Drosophila melanogaster: one gene and its partners. The protein of the gene in region 3 purifies or fractionates together with the protein of the main gene of each other region. This does not show direct contact. Each region holds a gene or a part of one and is shown on either strand. Other genes may lie near its edges.

The links.
Region 1: the proteins of Atac2 (region 3) and Mocs2B purify together in Drosophila melanogaster (affinity purification with mass spectrometry; 4 studies listed by BioGRID, with this or other methods). This does not show direct contact.
Region 2: the proteins of Atac2 (region 3) and Chrac-14 purify together in Drosophila melanogaster (affinity purification with mass spectrometry; 4 studies listed by BioGRID). This does not show direct contact.
Region 4: the proteins of Atac2 (region 3) and D12 purify together in Drosophila melanogaster (affinity purification with mass spectrometry; 4 studies listed by BioGRID, with this or other methods). This does not show direct contact.

What each region holds. Positions count from the first base shown.
Region 1 is NT_033777.3:25,125,112-25,129,096, forward strand, and holds Mocs2B (molybdenum cofactor synthesis 2B), read right to left. Parts: upstream 2,249-3,985; 5' UTR 2,236-2,248; coding exon of another isoform or gene 1,963-2,235; 5' UTR 1,953-1,962; coding exon 1,824-1,952; intron 1,763-1,823; coding exon 1,456-1,762; intron 1,332-1,455; coding exon 1,056-1,331; intron 992-1,055; coding exon 723-991; intron 664-722; coding exon 541-663; 3' UTR 521-540; downstream 1-520. Other genes in the region: vig2, read left to right, coding at 1-245; Mocs2A (molybdenum cofactor synthesis 2A), read right to left, coding at 1,963-2,235; Clbn (caliban), read left to right, coding at 2,700-2,755, 2,821-3,550, 3,622-3,985. UniProt on the Drosophila melanogaster protein: Catalytic subunit of the molybdopterin synthase complex, a complex that catalyzes the conversion of precursor Z into molybdopterin.
Region 2 is NT_033779.5:8,435,475-8,438,554, forward strand, and holds Chrac-14 (chromatin accessibility complex 14kD protein), read left to right. Parts: upstream 1-1,930; 5' UTR 1,931-2,030; coding exon 2,031-2,417; 3' UTR 2,418-2,522; downstream 2,523-3,080. Other genes in the region: D12, read right to left, coding at 1-753, 811-1,701; mus201 (mutagen-sensitive 201), read left to right, coding at 2,902-2,989, 3,053-3,080. UniProt on the Drosophila melanogaster protein: Accessory component of the DNA polymerase epsilon complex. Participates in DNA repair and in chromosomal DNA replication. Histone-like protein which promotes nucleosome sliding of ATP-dependent nucleosome remodeling complexes.
Region 3 is NT_033779.5:18,609,028-18,614,056, forward strand, and holds Atac2 (Ada2a-containing complex component 2), read right to left. Parts: upstream 3,223-5,029; 5' UTR 3,152-3,222; coding exon 2,742-3,151; intron 2,682-2,741; coding exon 2,530-2,681; intron 2,475-2,529; coding exon 2,300-2,474; intron 2,234-2,299; coding exon 1,002-2,233; intron 936-1,001; coding exon 580-935; 3' UTR 549-579; downstream 1-548. Other genes in the region: CG10333 (uncharacterized protein), read left to right, coding at 1-428.
Region 4 is NT_033779.5:8,433,500-8,439,137, forward strand, and holds D12 (D12), read right to left. Parts: upstream 3,867-5,638; 5' UTR 3,677-3,866; coding exon 2,786-3,676; intron 2,729-2,785; coding exon 710-2,728; 3' UTR 559-709; downstream 1-558. Other genes in the region: Chrac-14 (chromatin accessibility complex 14kD protein), read left to right, coding at 4,006-4,392; mus201 (mutagen-sensitive 201), read left to right, coding at 4,877-4,964, 5,028-5,203, 5,273-5,638.

The DNA of each region.
Region 1 (3,985 bases), on a different chromosome or scaffold from region 3:
GCGGAGAAGGTGGTTATCGCAACGACGGACCTCGCGGAGAGGGTCCACGCAATGAGGGACCGCGTGGAGAAGGCTACCGCAATGACGGACCGCGTGGAGAGGGATTCCGTGGTCCCCGCTTTAACAACGGACCCAGCAACGGCTATGAAAACAGACAAGACAACAACAGATTCGGAGAGAAACGCCGCTCCGCCCAGAAGCCACTGAAGGTTGACGATGAAGCTCAATTCCCCACTCTGTGCTAGGAGTTGAGAACAACAATAAGATTTAATAATTTCGCGTATTAAATAATTAGTAAGCTGGTCCTTCGGTTAACAAATAACCATTAGATTTTCGGGCGCGATCTATGAAGCTTGACGACCGATTAATAAACAGAAACAAATCAGCCACGCTTATCCATATTCCTTAGTTGTAAACAAAAATTTTTGCATTTTTCACTCTCATCATTTACGCATAAAAAAAACTATTACAAATAGTTGGAATGTTGAAATAAATTTACATCAATTACAAACCAAGGAATAATAATTAATTAGGTTTTTATTAGCTTAATTCGCTGCCATCCTTAATCTTTTGAATGAATGCACTTAATTCTTGCGCCGAATACGATTTCTTTCGGCTCTTCTTCGGCGGCGCGGCTTCCATAGATGACGGTTCACGTTTGGTCTGAGAATAGATTGAATTTTTTTAGAACTGCAATTACAGGAAATGTTTTAAGAACCTACGAAGTGTCTGTACTCGGGCGAAATGGACTCCAGTTGCAGCAGTCTATTTTCCACTCGTTTGATTCTACTGAAAATGTTTTCCTCGTTGTCGGTGGTTAGACCCATGTACGATTCAATTGCCTGTAGTCGTGAATTGGGTAGCGATTTCCTCATTTCTTTGGTTGGATCCGTTTGACCGTCACGCGATCCCATTAGTTTATTCAGTTCGAGTTCGTAGTTGGGTCGCATTTCCATTTGCTGAGGTCCGCATCGGTTGTTTACTCGTCGGACTGTGATAGGTTGTTTGTAGACCAAAGTGGCTATAGTTATGAAAATAGAGCATCGTTTACCCACCTTTTAAATGGCAATTTGACTGCTCCTGCTTAATAATTGTGCTCTGCGTTCGAGCGCAGGAATCGCTCAAGTTTTGGTCTGAGCTGACAAAAGACGATTTGAAGTCAATTACATTTTGTGAGTTTATTTCGTCTCGTTTTCTGTTGACAAAACATTCTAAACGCTTGGTTAACTCAGCGTCATTAACTCTAATTTGCACCAGAGTTCGCGGGACGTCATGTGACTCCTCAACTTTGCAGGGACAAGCGGCGTAGTTGAAGCCACTTTTCGATTTCTCTACAATGTACATGCACAGATGAGAGAGAAGCCAATAAAATCGTAAACGCTCGATTGTTAATTATATTTACAAGTGTACAAATAATAAGAATACATGTCATGCTGGCTACTCATAAGATCTTACTAGGCCTGATGGACTCCTTGTTCTCCTTCCATTCGCTGTCGTTATCGCCGTCGTAGATTTCCTTTTTCCAGATGGGAACCCGAGTTTTTAGCTGGTCTATTGCAAAAGATACTGATTCTAAGGCCTCAGAACGATGTGGTGACGAGGCGGCTATAACTACACTGGCTTCGCATACGGGCACTGTTCCCAATCGATGATATATGACTATGTGCTTCAGATCGAGCCACTTAGATCGGAGATCTGAGCATATTTTATTCATTTCCTTGAGTGCCATGCTATCGTAGGCCTCGTACGCCAATGACAGCACCTGAAAGGTCGAAAAGTACAAATGAATCAATGAAATCAATTGATTGAGATAATGAAGCCACCTTTTTCCCTTGAAAATTATCGCGCGTAGTGCCCACGAAAACGGATGAGGCTCCACAGCCTTCATCGGCCAGCAACTGATGGATATGAGCGATATCTATGGGGTCGTTTACCAATTTCACGTGATCCATGGCGGAAAGGTTAGCCTCCACTCAGTGGCGGTATGATGGCGAGTTCGTCTCCTTCCTTAAACAGAATTCTATCACTCAGGTTGTCAATGTACGACTCGTTGTGGGCCAAAATCAAGTTATCCCGGATGGAGGTCAGGCCAAATTTGGACACCAGGTGGTCCAGCAGTTCGGTGGCAGTAATTTCAGTAGGAACTTCCACTGTCGACCGGGGAGTGTTTGCTAATTCACGGGATTTAGCAAAGAACAACACGTGCACGTTGACAACAGGTCCATCCGCATTCATATTTACAAATGAAGATTGGCGATGACACAGCAGTTCCATTTTCCGACTACCTATGTATCGATTTCTTATCGGAACGAAGTGGAATAGTCCACGGAAAGGGAAACAGCTGACTGAAACTTTATTAAATGCTTAATAACTTTTTAGATAAATCAAAGAAGCTTCTTACTCATTGCATAAACAATACAAATATTTAATACATAGTAATTATACAGCGAATTCATTCTGACAATCCGAATCATCAACAGCATACAATCGATATATTTTGTTTAAAGTTCGTCCATCGCAATTTACACCGATACTTAATTTCGCAAGTGAATAAAATTGTTATTATTCCCTATTAAACTAATTTAACTTATCTAACGTAGATAGCGAACTTGTGAATATTTAATGATAAGTTAAGTTGCCAGATAGATTCTTTTTTCTTCACTTTCCGTGTTGACATCGTCAACTTTCCATAAAGAACCATGAAGACACGTTTCAATACCTTCGATATAATCTGCGGAGTGGCGGAACTGCAAAAGTATGTAAAAAATCCGGATAATTCCGATGCCCAGGAATAATGGTACATCTACATTTATATTCCAGGCTGGTCGGCTGGCGAGTGAATCAGATCTATGACGTGGATAACAAGACCTACCTCTTCCGGATGCAAGGGACCGGTGCAGTGGAGAAGGTCACTCTGCTAATAGAATCTGGTACAAGATTCCATACCACTAGGTTCGAATGGCCCAAGAACATGGCTCCGTCCGGTTTCAGCATGAAGTTGAGGAAGCACTTGAAGAACAAGCGCCTGGAAAAGGTTCAACAGATGGGTAGCGATCGTATTGTTGACTTTCAGTTCGGTACCGGTGATGCCGCCTACCATGTTATTTTGGAGCTCTACGATCGTGGTAATGTGATCCTCACCGACTACGAGCTGACCACGTTATATATTTTGCGTCCGCATACGGAGGGCGAGAACCTGCGCTTCGCCATGCGCGAGAAATATCCCGTGGAACGGGCCAAACAGCCCACGAAGGAACTGGAACTGGAAGCTTTGGTTAAGCTGTTGGAAAATGCCAGGAACGGCGACTATTTGCGACAGATTCTAACACCCAACTTGGACTGTGGTCCGGCAGTTATAGAGCATGTTCTCCTCTCACACGGCTTGGACAATCACGTTATCAAAAAGGAAACAACGGAAGAAACGCCGGAGGCGGAGGACAAGCCGGAGAAGGGCGGTAAAAAGCAACGTAAGAAGCAACAGAATACGAAACTGGAACAGAAACCATTTGACATGGTTAATGACTTGCCAATTCTTCAGCAAGCAGTAAAGGTAAGAACAATATCGTGGAAATATTTATTATTGCTGTTAAAGTAAATAAAACGTTCTGTGCAATCTTTTAGGATGCTCAAGAGCTTATAGCTGAGGGAAATAGTGGAAAAAGTAAAGGCTACATTATTCAAGTTAAAGAGGAAAAGCCTACAGAGAATGGAACGGTGGAGTTTTTCTTTAGAAACATCGAATTTCATCCCTACCTCTTTATTCAATTCAAAAACTTTGAAAAGGCCACATTTGAGTCCTTTATGGAAGCCGTTGATGAATTTTACTCTACGCAAGAGTCGCAAAAGATTGACATGAAAACGCTACAGCAAGAGCGTGAGGCACTAAAAAAGCTGTCTAATGTCAAGAATGACCACGCAAAGCGTCTAGAGGAATTGACAAAAGTCCAAGATGTGGACAGAAAGAAAGCAGAGCTAATAACGTCCA
Region 2 (3,080 bases), about 10 Mb from region 3:
TATTGGTGGCCGATCCGACGAGGATTCCTTCCACGCTCTCTGCGGAGATGCCGGTGGATAGTGCTTTACTGGCGAAAACTCCTGCCGCTGCCTTTCTGGCAAGGATTCCTGCCTAGGACTTCGGCCGTTTACTGGCAGATAGACCACAGAAGGCTTCGAAGCGGTGACCTGAGCCGCATTTAACCGAAGTTGAGTCCTAGGAGGCGATGACGGAGTGGGTGGCTGCTTTCTTGGACTGTAGTTTAACTTCAGGGGCTCTGAAACCAACACAGTTGGTTCAATTTTCTCAATGTCGTCGCTGAGTTCAATTTTGTTGATACCAGCAAACAGATTGTCATCAAGTTCCTCCTTATTTTGAGTGATTGAAATGGTGCGCGGTTTGCATGACTCTCCAGGAAAGGCGAAAACCGAAGGCTCTAAAACATTCGGAGCAGCCAGAGGTGGAGCAGGAACTGCAGTCTCCTGTTCATGGGGAGGATGAGGTTTGCCGCTTTTCTGTTTCGTTATCGCCTGTTTTGCTCTCAGCCATATTTCCACAGTGGTCTCTGCGCCCATCGTGTGCAGTCCACACATTGTTTTATCCAGCACCACCGTGTGCATTAGTTGCACGGGTTTCTGCTGCAAGTGCTCTTGGAAAAATAGCTGGATGCGCATCGGAAACTCGCCCCAACCATGTCGGTTAAGCTGAAACGGAGACCTGTGCACGTCCACGATGTCGTTTGGGCGGTATGACGGATGGAGGTGGAAGCGCACCTAGAATTGCGAAGAAGAGATTGAATCACTCCGTACGTGCTTATGGGAATTACTTACCTTTTTAATGTATTTTTCAAGTGGTTCAGGTAGATCTTTGCCTTGCACATAGACCAACCACTTATAGGTCAAAGCATTCCCACCTGTGCCATTCTCTCGAGAGTCTTCGCCAATGTATTTGGAAGTATTACCCACCACGAAGTTGAATTTGTTCTTGTTATTCAGCCGCGAGGCATTCAGCTCCACTTGCCTTTCGTGGGCCTGTCGGCTGGTGCACGGCTGCTCGTCCTCCAACTTAACGGAAATGGGAGGTTCCTGCTCTGGCTGATCTTTTTTGTCCTTGGAGTGATCGGTTACGATGCCCTGCTCCTTGATCTTCTGTTGCCGCCTTCGTTCCGCCCGACGATGAGCCGGATTCCTCAGTCGGATGGTTTCTTTGGCCAAGGTGGCCGCCGTGCGCTCTGGCAAATGATTTTGGATGACAACAGGGCGCTTGCCAACGATTTTTTTAATGGCTGGATGCAGTGGCAGCTGCGGAGCGGCTATGTCGTCCCCAAAAAGGCTGTCGCCGCGCACTTTCGCAATATCCGCGCCGGTGAGGGGGACCTGCTGCTTTCGGTAATATTCGCTGACCACCTGATAGCGTAGTCTGTCCAACAGTTGTCGTCCTTGCAGCAGTCGTCGGTCGATCTCGGCCAGCTGCTCGACCTTCTGAGAGATTTCGCGCTGGAACTCCAGACGAAGCAGCTCCCGGATGCGCTGAAATTTGTCGGACAACGGCAGCATGCCATCCGACTGTTCCGTCTTGGTCCACTTTCTTTGACCGGGCGACTCGGCTTCTGCGCAGGTTTCTTCCTCATCCTGGCTAGAAACTTCCGTTTGCTGATAATCTGGATCGTGGTACTCGCTGTGCCTGCGTTTTTTTGGCGGCGTCGCTTGTTGCTGGTCCATGTGCGTGGTAGCTGGCACACGCACAGGACTTGTATCACGTTAGTTCGGAGGGGAACAGCTTCAAGTTTGGCCCGAATCGCTCCGTGCACATTTAGGCCGGGGTAATTGGCTGTTATTTATAAAAATGTGTAAACAATTGATGCGAACGAGGCGGCGCAAACAGAATTGAGTGGGGGAGTTGCCACATCGCTGGTGTAGATGCGTGCACGCTGGCCTTGTCCAACACTGTTCAGCCAGCTGTTTACTCTTTACGCGGGAAGCAAAGACGCCGAAATCTAGACGGAAAATCAAAAGTGCCCACCAAGTAAAAGCAGATAAGCAGCAGCAAAATGGTCGAGCGCATCGAGGATCTTAACCTGCCGAATGCCGTGATTGGCCGGCTCATCAAGGAAGCACTGCCGGAGTCAGCTAGTGTCAGCAAGGAAGCGCGAGCAGCGATCGCCCGAGCGGCATCTGTGTTTGCCATCTTCGTGACATCCTCGTCGACGGCGTTGGCCCACAAGCAGAACCACAAGACCATCACGGCCAAGGATATTCTACAGACCCTCACCGAGCTAGACTTCGAAAGCTTCGTGCCCTCTCTGACGCAGGATCTCGAGGTCTATCGTAAAGTGGTCAAGGAGAAAAAGGAGAGCAAGGCCAGCAAGAAGGATTCCAACACTGCCGAAAATGCCAACGCCAGTGCCACCGCAACAGCAGAGGAAGCCCCCGAGTGATTACGAATAGGAGAAACTATACGGATCAATTATCCTCTTCAGTCATTAAGAACAAAGCTAGTATTGAGCATTAACAAAAAACATTAAACATAGGCATTATCTAAGAACTTCACTTGTGTTTTGTCACTTTCCTCAAAGACTAAATTATGTTGTTAGTCAACGTTTACATGGGATTAATTTGGGATTGTAAGTGACGGTTGGAATTACACCCTTAAATAATGCCGCATTTCAATCCAGTCCGATCTAGTTTTTTACGCCTTCATTCAAAGTATATAAAGGTGTCAGAATAATATTTAAGTATTTCAGTAATTATTTGTTTATATATGTGATCAGAAAATCACTGTTTTAAAAATCATCCAGATAGATAACCGCGTGTTCTTTCCAGCACTGGAAACAGCTGTTTAAAAAAGCGCGTCTTATCGCAACAAAAAGTTTAGTTAGTTATTATTTTGCATGTTTTATACAATTAATATTTTAGTAGAAAATGGGAGTTACGGGCTTGTGGAAGCTCATTGAGCCGTGCGGCAAGCCAGTCCCCGTAGAGACTTTGGAGGGCAAAATCCTAGCAGTGGGTAAGCATCGTTTTTCGCCACCTAATGAAATACTTGCTGATTGGAGTACTTTTCGTCCTGCAGATATATCGATTTGGTTGCATCAGGTTGT
Region 3 (5,029 bases):
TTTTGGCTAAGGGTCTGGAGAAACTCGGCTACAACTCGTGCACATTGCACGGTGGCAAGGGTCAGGAGCAGAGAGAGTATGCTTTGGCTGCTTTGAAGTCAGGCGCAAAGGACATCCTGGTGGCCACCGACGTCGCTGGTCGTGGTATCGACATCAAGGACGTGTCCTTGGTTATTAACTATGACATGGCCAAGACCATCGAGGATTACACACATCGTATCGGTCGTACGGGTCGTGCCGGCAAAACCGGTTGTGCCATTTCGTTTGTCACCAAGGACGATAGCGCTTTGTTCTACGATCTAAAGCAATGTGTGTCTGCAAGTCCTGTCTCGACCTGTCCGCCGGAGCTAATGAATCACCCGGAAGCGCAGCACAAGCCTGGCACGGTGGTTACCAAAAAGCGCAGGGAGGAAAAAATATTCGCCTAAATTTGGCAAATTCTAAGCAGAACTACTTTAGGTTAAAATTTAAAACTAATAAAGTTGGGTGCGCCAAAGCCATACCTTGGCAACCAAAAATTCTCTTTCGAAATAGTCTTTTGAAACTTTAGATTCATAAACCATTTATTTGAAAAAAGTCTCATCTTTGTAATCTCAAAAAGAAGGCATTTCTGCTCTGTTTCGAGTCCAGAGGCAGATACTTGTCATAAAAGTCCAAGATGATTTCCTCCATCTTAAATCCGAATTTCTGGTACAACATGACGGCCGCGTTGGTGGCGGAAACGTGCAACGTTATGTCCTTGGACATACATGTCTGGATAAGGTGATATAACATGAAGCTGGCGATGCCACTGCGTTGCCAGCACGGCCGCACCGCCATGAATGAGATGTAGGCCTCGTTGTAACCTACGTCGGGCACTAGGAATCCGCAACCGATGACCAGTTTCTTGTACAACGCCACTACACTGTAGTCCGGGTAGCTCAAACACTCGCTTACTAAAAGGGAAAAAATCATACAAATTTGTACATTAAAAAAGCTAAAAAGAAAATCATGAAACCCACCATCAATGTTTGGCCAAAAAGTACTTTGGAGTAATGCGTTTACGGCCGGAATATGCTGCGGTCTCACAAAACAGAAGTCGATGGTAGATCTTGTGGGATGAGATCCGTTTACTCTATGCTGCAGCTCGCACATAAGCTTCAGCCATGGAGGAGCCATCGTTTCGCTCCGAAAGATAAATGGATGAAGAACTCTTTGAGAGTAGGGCGATTCAAAGAGCTCGTATTGAGTGCATCCCGCCAGGCGGGCGTGAAAGGAGCTCCTTGCATCTTGTCGTGAATGGGCTAACAACTGATATCTGTCAAGAATTTCGGCCTTCTGATGACCCAGCATCTTTAGGCGTGCTCTTCCCAGGGGATCTATGTGCTCGTCCAAGTTAAATATGTGTCGATTGTGGTCCCTTTTCCATTTTCGAAGAGAAAGTTTTCGATATAGGCGCCGCACATAGGCAGGTATGGATATGTGGCACTGATGCTCCAGTGCGAATATTCTATCGAGTCGCTGGTACAACTTCTGTTCTTCGTATGCATTTATTAGTTTGAGATTTTCGCTAGGAATGGCCATGTCATCGGGATCCTGCGCCTCCTGCAACCAGGGCCAATTTCGCCGTGGTTGTCTGACAAATCCACTCGGTTTGCAAGGCTCTAGGATAGAGGATTTGCTATTTGTCGTGACGTCATCATCTTGCATTATCTCTTCTAGTGGTTCCTCTTTGATGCTTTCGTTTGCCTCTTGCGCCTGGTAATTTGTAACCTGTACGATGCGTGGCTGATAGTCGGGTGATTCGTCCTCTTCTGGCTTTTCATCTTCTACCTCGCCTTCTTTTTGTTCCTCGCTGCTTTCGGCTGCAGGTTCTTCTGTTGATATGGGTTTGGTCTCATCAGCGGTATTTGGTATGGCAAAATTTGTATCCATGTCGAAAAGACCTTCATTATTCAAAGGTGCGTGAAGCAACGGCTCGGTCATGAAGAAATCATTTTTACCCGCTCCAATCAGGGGTGGGGGCATTATGCCTGGTAGGTTACCAAACATGGTAAAATCATCGCTTTCCAAACTTTCAGCCAGAAAATCCATCAGGCCTGCTTGGACCATGCTCATAGGCTGATTCTGTGGTTCTTCCTCCTTCTGACTTGGTGGCGCTATATTTTCTTGAAGAATTGGTGGCCCTGGAAGCGTTTCCTGTGACAAGGGTGAAGGTTGTGTTTGTATCTTTGGCAAACGGCCCATGTAGGGACTGGAATAAAAGTGAAAGATTTTAATGAAAGGAACGCATAGTTGTATTCAAAATTAATTATCTTACATTGTTCGCGCACAGCCCTCTGTTGAACTGGGTTTCTCAGCTTCTGCTTTAATAAGCGGTGGGTTATCCTGGGCATGATCCGCCACTGAGATCTCGCTGCTACAGCTGGTCTCGTCCGCTGCAGGCAACCGCTTTTCAATACGCATTTGTAGCCGCAACTGTTGCTTTTTCTCATCTGAAATGTGACGACTTGTGAAATCTATCATATCATTAACTTAAGTGGCACTTACATTCTTTGAGAACGCTTCTTGGGGTTTGAAAGGGCTTGGCCAGTTTCCACCAGCCGTTCTCCTGAAAGACATCCAGACCAGACTGAAAGTACTCCGGACTGTTGTGGGACAGTGCGCCGGATACGGAACCAGTCCATTGCTTGCGACGCCGCCTGAACAAGGGGAATAAATTGAATGTGTTCTCCGGAAATTATTCATTTACGAATACTTACACATTGGGACCGAATATATAGTTCCAGTTCTTGTCCACAAAACTGATGATGTGCGTGCGCCAATGGAAGAATCCATGGTGTCCCAAGCCCTTTTGTTTGATGGACAGATTGTAGAGCGTTAGGGTGAGCACCAGCAGCCAAGGTATCCTTTGGCGCACGATCACTTCCTTAATGGGTTCTAGATCTGAGGGTATGACCGATTCCTTAGCTTTATCCAGCACACACTTGACGCACGTGAACTCGAAGAAAACGTCGCCTAAAAGATCTCCGGGCGTGCAAGCATGCGGCAGGCATTTGATGTGAACCATCCGCCTGCATTCCTGGCACTCCAGGTAGTTGTCGTCCTCCACCGGCGATTCACAGTAGCGGCATGGTCCCTGGGGATCATCCCAGTTACTGGGCCGATTCATTTACTCAGTAAAACAGCACAAATTGCAAGTTAAAAACAATCAACAAAATAATGTGTTGTTTGTGTGTTACCGTTTCGCACTTTTTGGTTTATACCATATATATGAGAAGCTTACATTTTGAAAATACCAAAAAATCGCACTGTGCTCGGTTCAAATTTGTCAATAATTTGAATTGGGAAAACAAAAAATAAAATTAATTTGTATTCTTAATTGATCTTTTCTGAAGCACTACAAAACATATTATTATTAAGCACTTATTTATTTATTAACATTGCCGTTTTAAAATGCCGAAGATGTCAGCATTAACATAATTTAAAATAATTTTTTATTGTTAAAATGTCATAAATAAGCATTTTTAATTAATATGGAACAGAGACAAGGCTATGGTCTTCGCATATTATATACCCTCTTCTCAGGTGTATTCAACATTTTCTTGTCACATTTTTAGAAATTGCAAGCAAATATCAAAACACTTTTTAAAAGTTTTGAGCTCTTGGTGGGCGTTAGAGTGGGCGTGGCATTCTTCTGAAACAAACTGTGATGCGTCTACATGTCTAGAATCTGATTGCTCCATCTTAGCTTCCTAACTTTTAAGTTCCCGAGATCACAGCGCTTATACGGACGAACAGAAGGACACGTTTTAATCGACTCGTCCACTGATCCTGATTACATATATATGCTTAATACTGTCGGGAATGACTTTTTCTTTTGTTATTTCTTATGCCAGTTACCTACTTTTCAACGAATCTAGCATATCCTTATGCCCTTATATACACTATATAAAAGATCCCGATTGTTTTTTATGTTCTCCCTATCTAGAAGATAAGAATCCGCTTGATTAGTACAGTCCCGTTTCGCTTGATCAAGCATGCGTTTGTCACGCCCTACGCCCACCAAGCACATTAGTACCAACGCCCACCACCCACCACCCAACGCCCAGCGTCCTTTGGCCATGCAACGAAAATGACATTAATGGGCTCTTTACGGCTTACGCATAATTAAGGCTGTTTCCGGCAGACCATCGACCATCGGACCTGGCCCCATTGCTTTTGGCCCGGTCAGTGTGTTGTCTTAAGCGGGCCTAATTAGGCATCGCCGGCTGCTGCGTTCTGGCGAAGCTGTTGCTTCTGCTTCTGCTTCTGCTGTTGTTGTGTGTTTGATGAAGTGCATGATTGGTTTATGGACTGAAGTGGGATGGTCGAAACTGCAGGCCGGCTAAGTGGGGTATTCAGTTGAGAACCAAAGCTGAACGGATCCACAATTGTTTCTTTTGTAAATCACTTTCTATTTGCCGAATGATTATTACTGCAAAGCATGCAGTTTGTGCATCTTACAGGATATGCACCTATTTACGATTTCACTTCAACACTCATCGTTTTCAATTCAATTTGAATATTGCACTTCAAGTTCTTCCCTGCCTTTAATATCTGTAGTTGAATTCCTTTCAACTTGCTTGTCTGGCGCCTCGAGGAGATTTTCATTTAATTCGCGACTGCCCGCTGGCAAGTCGAAAAGAGCGAAAAATATGGTGAAACAAATTAATTTGTTGGTGCTACTACAGCCAAAAGTATATCCCCGAATTATGTTTTAAAGTATATCTATATCTTAGTTTTGCGAAAGTTAAAATGAGTTTCACTCATAAATCACTTAAAGCTCGAGGGTAAATATTTTCTGGAAAGAGCTTGACAAATTGGATAGTCGTTTACTAGCTGATTATGACATTTACAGATGCGATGCTGGTTAGAATTTGTTTGGCCACCCATTTTGTTCATAACAACCGTATTTGCTCTCAATCACCAGACTTATTGCACCTTAGCTCCACGGCCATGGCTTGACCGTTTTCCGAACGATTTAAGGCCAGGTCCTGGCACAAAGGGA
Region 4 (5,638 bases), about 10 Mb from region 3:
TTAATTAGTTAATCTAAAGAGCAGCAAGCGCGGGAAGCGGGCTCTTCTCTGCTCCACTTTGATTTTAGGTCTTGTTGCGCGCACGTCGGAAAAGAGACTGAGGAAAACAGAGCCAGAGAAACAGATGGACCTCATCCCTACATTGGCGGCATTGGCATGCGCCATGAATGAAATCGATCGGTGAGCGGGGAGAGCGAAGAGAGCGCCCCCAAAAGAGATGCGATTGCGACCGATAATAGTCGAAGAATCATATGGATATGCTAAGAGCTGCAAAAAAAAACCGCCCTTTAACAGTTATTCAATTTGTTAACGGCACTTTTCACTGCATACTTCTAGGGCACTATAAAGATATATTACTCTGTGAAGATAGCTGATAAGACTTAAAAATGTTTACATGTTTCGTACAAATATGCAATTGTAGCGATTATTATTTATATTGATAAAACAATTTAAAAGTCTTCAGCCAGATATTCAAAATTTAAAAATTAATGACCACTCATCTCATGATTTCGTCCAAAATATGATAATCGTTGATAATTAAAAACGCAGTATTCATTTCTTCGGACATTAATTTAGTTAATTTATTGCTTAGATTTATGCTTACCAACGAGTACAAGGCTCTAATTAGATATCAACTAATATCCCAGTAGAATTTGAACTATGACGCGGACTTGATAAAAAATAAATTCAAAACAATGGCAACTGCACATTAGATTTGTGGTTCTATCGGAGCAACTCCCAAGTGACTGTTTCCGAGGAAATCCAATTCGGAACACAGACTGATGACACGGCCTATGTCCTGAGGTTGGAGACACAACGGAGCATTGGCCGCCGCCGGTGGCAACTGTTCCAAAGTCTCCTGTTGCAGTTTCGCCGCCAAGGAGCGGCGCACCAATTTCTCAATAAAAGTGCGCAGCACTTGTCCGAGCATCGAGAGAGCCAGTGGCTGGGAGACGCCAGGCGGAGATTCCTCCGGTTCCAGTGTGATATTAATGTCCTTGCACATTTCCTGGACCAGCTGCAAGGTCGAATCCAAGTGCTTCGGCGGAGGTAGATAAAGTAGTTGGCGATGATTCACCATTTGGAAAGATACATCTGCTGAGTTTGTTAACCTGGACGCAAGCGGATGAGGTTTGTCCACACCCAACACATCGATGAACTCCTTATCCCGCATCTGTTGATCATGACCAAGCAGACGATCGGATTGCTTGGTTATCCAAGCTTCCAGCCGATTGCCTGAGCTGAGACTGCTATAGGCCGACAGTTGCGGTTGGGGCTCGCCCTTTAGTTGCGCCTGAACACGCCGAGCCAGTTGCTCCTCATCGCTCAGTTTTTGTTTTCTCTTTTCATGCACGACAGGTAAAACATCTTTGAGAGCTGGCGTATAACCATGAACCCTGGCGAACGCCACTATCTCCCGTAAACTCCAGTAGTGTTCCTTTCCACTAATGTCCAACTTATGCAGCTCGTGGTGCTGCATCAGACAGCGACGGAGCATACGTGCGCGCAGGTACTCAAAGCAACGTTGTTTTAGAGCAGTGTGATTGTGGAACTCTTCGAGGGTTATACAAGTGAATGGATACTCCTTTTGCTGATCAATCGACGCAAGCGGGAGGCGGCTCAGCAGGAACTCCACAGCACTGCGCATATTTCGGAATTGTGCACTTCTAAAGATGTGCTCCAGCCTTCGGGGTCGCGATTGTATGGTAGTGTCCACAATTGGAGGTAACAGCATTGGCTTTTCCTCCATCTCGCCGCTCATGTTGGCGTACCCATGATCGTGCTGCATGCACTGCAGCATATGCCATCGCGTTTCTGACGGTGGCTTAAGAAGACTCAATTGTGGTTTCAGCAGGGATTGTTGCTTTGCAGCCTGCTTAAGCTTGCGCTGCAAGGGATCGATAATGTACAGCTTTCCTGCTCTCTGAAACACAACATTCTTCTTGCCCTGGTGATGGCCATTGGGCACAGGCTTTATTGGTGGCCGATCCGACGAGGATTCCTTCCACGCTCTCTGCGGAGATGCCGGTGGATAGTGCTTTACTGGCGAAAACTCCTGCCGCTGCCTTTCTGGCAAGGATTCCTGCCTAGGACTTCGGCCGTTTACTGGCAGATAGACCACAGAAGGCTTCGAAGCGGTGACCTGAGCCGCATTTAACCGAAGTTGAGTCCTAGGAGGCGATGACGGAGTGGGTGGCTGCTTTCTTGGACTGTAGTTTAACTTCAGGGGCTCTGAAACCAACACAGTTGGTTCAATTTTCTCAATGTCGTCGCTGAGTTCAATTTTGTTGATACCAGCAAACAGATTGTCATCAAGTTCCTCCTTATTTTGAGTGATTGAAATGGTGCGCGGTTTGCATGACTCTCCAGGAAAGGCGAAAACCGAAGGCTCTAAAACATTCGGAGCAGCCAGAGGTGGAGCAGGAACTGCAGTCTCCTGTTCATGGGGAGGATGAGGTTTGCCGCTTTTCTGTTTCGTTATCGCCTGTTTTGCTCTCAGCCATATTTCCACAGTGGTCTCTGCGCCCATCGTGTGCAGTCCACACATTGTTTTATCCAGCACCACCGTGTGCATTAGTTGCACGGGTTTCTGCTGCAAGTGCTCTTGGAAAAATAGCTGGATGCGCATCGGAAACTCGCCCCAACCATGTCGGTTAAGCTGAAACGGAGACCTGTGCACGTCCACGATGTCGTTTGGGCGGTATGACGGATGGAGGTGGAAGCGCACCTAGAATTGCGAAGAAGAGATTGAATCACTCCGTACGTGCTTATGGGAATTACTTACCTTTTTAATGTATTTTTCAAGTGGTTCAGGTAGATCTTTGCCTTGCACATAGACCAACCACTTATAGGTCAAAGCATTCCCACCTGTGCCATTCTCTCGAGAGTCTTCGCCAATGTATTTGGAAGTATTACCCACCACGAAGTTGAATTTGTTCTTGTTATTCAGCCGCGAGGCATTCAGCTCCACTTGCCTTTCGTGGGCCTGTCGGCTGGTGCACGGCTGCTCGTCCTCCAACTTAACGGAAATGGGAGGTTCCTGCTCTGGCTGATCTTTTTTGTCCTTGGAGTGATCGGTTACGATGCCCTGCTCCTTGATCTTCTGTTGCCGCCTTCGTTCCGCCCGACGATGAGCCGGATTCCTCAGTCGGATGGTTTCTTTGGCCAAGGTGGCCGCCGTGCGCTCTGGCAAATGATTTTGGATGACAACAGGGCGCTTGCCAACGATTTTTTTAATGGCTGGATGCAGTGGCAGCTGCGGAGCGGCTATGTCGTCCCCAAAAAGGCTGTCGCCGCGCACTTTCGCAATATCCGCGCCGGTGAGGGGGACCTGCTGCTTTCGGTAATATTCGCTGACCACCTGATAGCGTAGTCTGTCCAACAGTTGTCGTCCTTGCAGCAGTCGTCGGTCGATCTCGGCCAGCTGCTCGACCTTCTGAGAGATTTCGCGCTGGAACTCCAGACGAAGCAGCTCCCGGATGCGCTGAAATTTGTCGGACAACGGCAGCATGCCATCCGACTGTTCCGTCTTGGTCCACTTTCTTTGACCGGGCGACTCGGCTTCTGCGCAGGTTTCTTCCTCATCCTGGCTAGAAACTTCCGTTTGCTGATAATCTGGATCGTGGTACTCGCTGTGCCTGCGTTTTTTTGGCGGCGTCGCTTGTTGCTGGTCCATGTGCGTGGTAGCTGGCACACGCACAGGACTTGTATCACGTTAGTTCGGAGGGGAACAGCTTCAAGTTTGGCCCGAATCGCTCCGTGCACATTTAGGCCGGGGTAATTGGCTGTTATTTATAAAAATGTGTAAACAATTGATGCGAACGAGGCGGCGCAAACAGAATTGAGTGGGGGAGTTGCCACATCGCTGGTGTAGATGCGTGCACGCTGGCCTTGTCCAACACTGTTCAGCCAGCTGTTTACTCTTTACGCGGGAAGCAAAGACGCCGAAATCTAGACGGAAAATCAAAAGTGCCCACCAAGTAAAAGCAGATAAGCAGCAGCAAAATGGTCGAGCGCATCGAGGATCTTAACCTGCCGAATGCCGTGATTGGCCGGCTCATCAAGGAAGCACTGCCGGAGTCAGCTAGTGTCAGCAAGGAAGCGCGAGCAGCGATCGCCCGAGCGGCATCTGTGTTTGCCATCTTCGTGACATCCTCGTCGACGGCGTTGGCCCACAAGCAGAACCACAAGACCATCACGGCCAAGGATATTCTACAGACCCTCACCGAGCTAGACTTCGAAAGCTTCGTGCCCTCTCTGACGCAGGATCTCGAGGTCTATCGTAAAGTGGTCAAGGAGAAAAAGGAGAGCAAGGCCAGCAAGAAGGATTCCAACACTGCCGAAAATGCCAACGCCAGTGCCACCGCAACAGCAGAGGAAGCCCCCGAGTGATTACGAATAGGAGAAACTATACGGATCAATTATCCTCTTCAGTCATTAAGAACAAAGCTAGTATTGAGCATTAACAAAAAACATTAAACATAGGCATTATCTAAGAACTTCACTTGTGTTTTGTCACTTTCCTCAAAGACTAAATTATGTTGTTAGTCAACGTTTACATGGGATTAATTTGGGATTGTAAGTGACGGTTGGAATTACACCCTTAAATAATGCCGCATTTCAATCCAGTCCGATCTAGTTTTTTACGCCTTCATTCAAAGTATATAAAGGTGTCAGAATAATATTTAAGTATTTCAGTAATTATTTGTTTATATATGTGATCAGAAAATCACTGTTTTAAAAATCATCCAGATAGATAACCGCGTGTTCTTTCCAGCACTGGAAACAGCTGTTTAAAAAAGCGCGTCTTATCGCAACAAAAAGTTTAGTTAGTTATTATTTTGCATGTTTTATACAATTAATATTTTAGTAGAAAATGGGAGTTACGGGCTTGTGGAAGCTCATTGAGCCGTGCGGCAAGCCAGTCCCCGTAGAGACTTTGGAGGGCAAAATCCTAGCAGTGGGTAAGCATCGTTTTTCGCCACCTAATGAAATACTTGCTGATTGGAGTACTTTTCGTCCTGCAGATATATCGATTTGGTTGCATCAGGTTGTGAAGGGCTTTCAGGACAACAAGGGATCGGCCCTGAGTAATGCCCATTTACTGGGTCTATTCCATCGTCTCTGTAAATTGCTATACTATCGTGTGCGACCGGTTTTCATTTTCGATGGATGCGTGCCGCAGCTTAAAAGGGACACTATTGTGAGTTATAATAGGGGAATATATCAAATTCACTCTCTAAATTAAATCCTCTTTATGTCACCCCTTCAGGCACGTCGCCAGCAGCAGAGGAATAAGCTCAGCAACGAAGCTGATCGCATTCAGGCTTTGCTCCTTCAATCCCTGGCCAAAGAAAAAGTAGTGCAGCAAGCGCTGGGCAAGAATGCAGAGCTACTGTTGAAATCCCCGGTTAAGCGACCGCCTCCAGCTAAGAAGAACGACGAGGATGACTTGTTTAAGCTTCCCGAACTGCCGGCTGCATCGGTGCAAGATAATCAAGATGAAAGCGAGCAGGACACCAGTGCCAGTGCCTCAGACAGCTCCTTTGACGAGTCAACCGCTCGACATTCTTACAACTCTAGCTTACAGGCCATCGATGTAAAGAGTCAGCATTTTCGGAATCTGCCAGCCGATGTG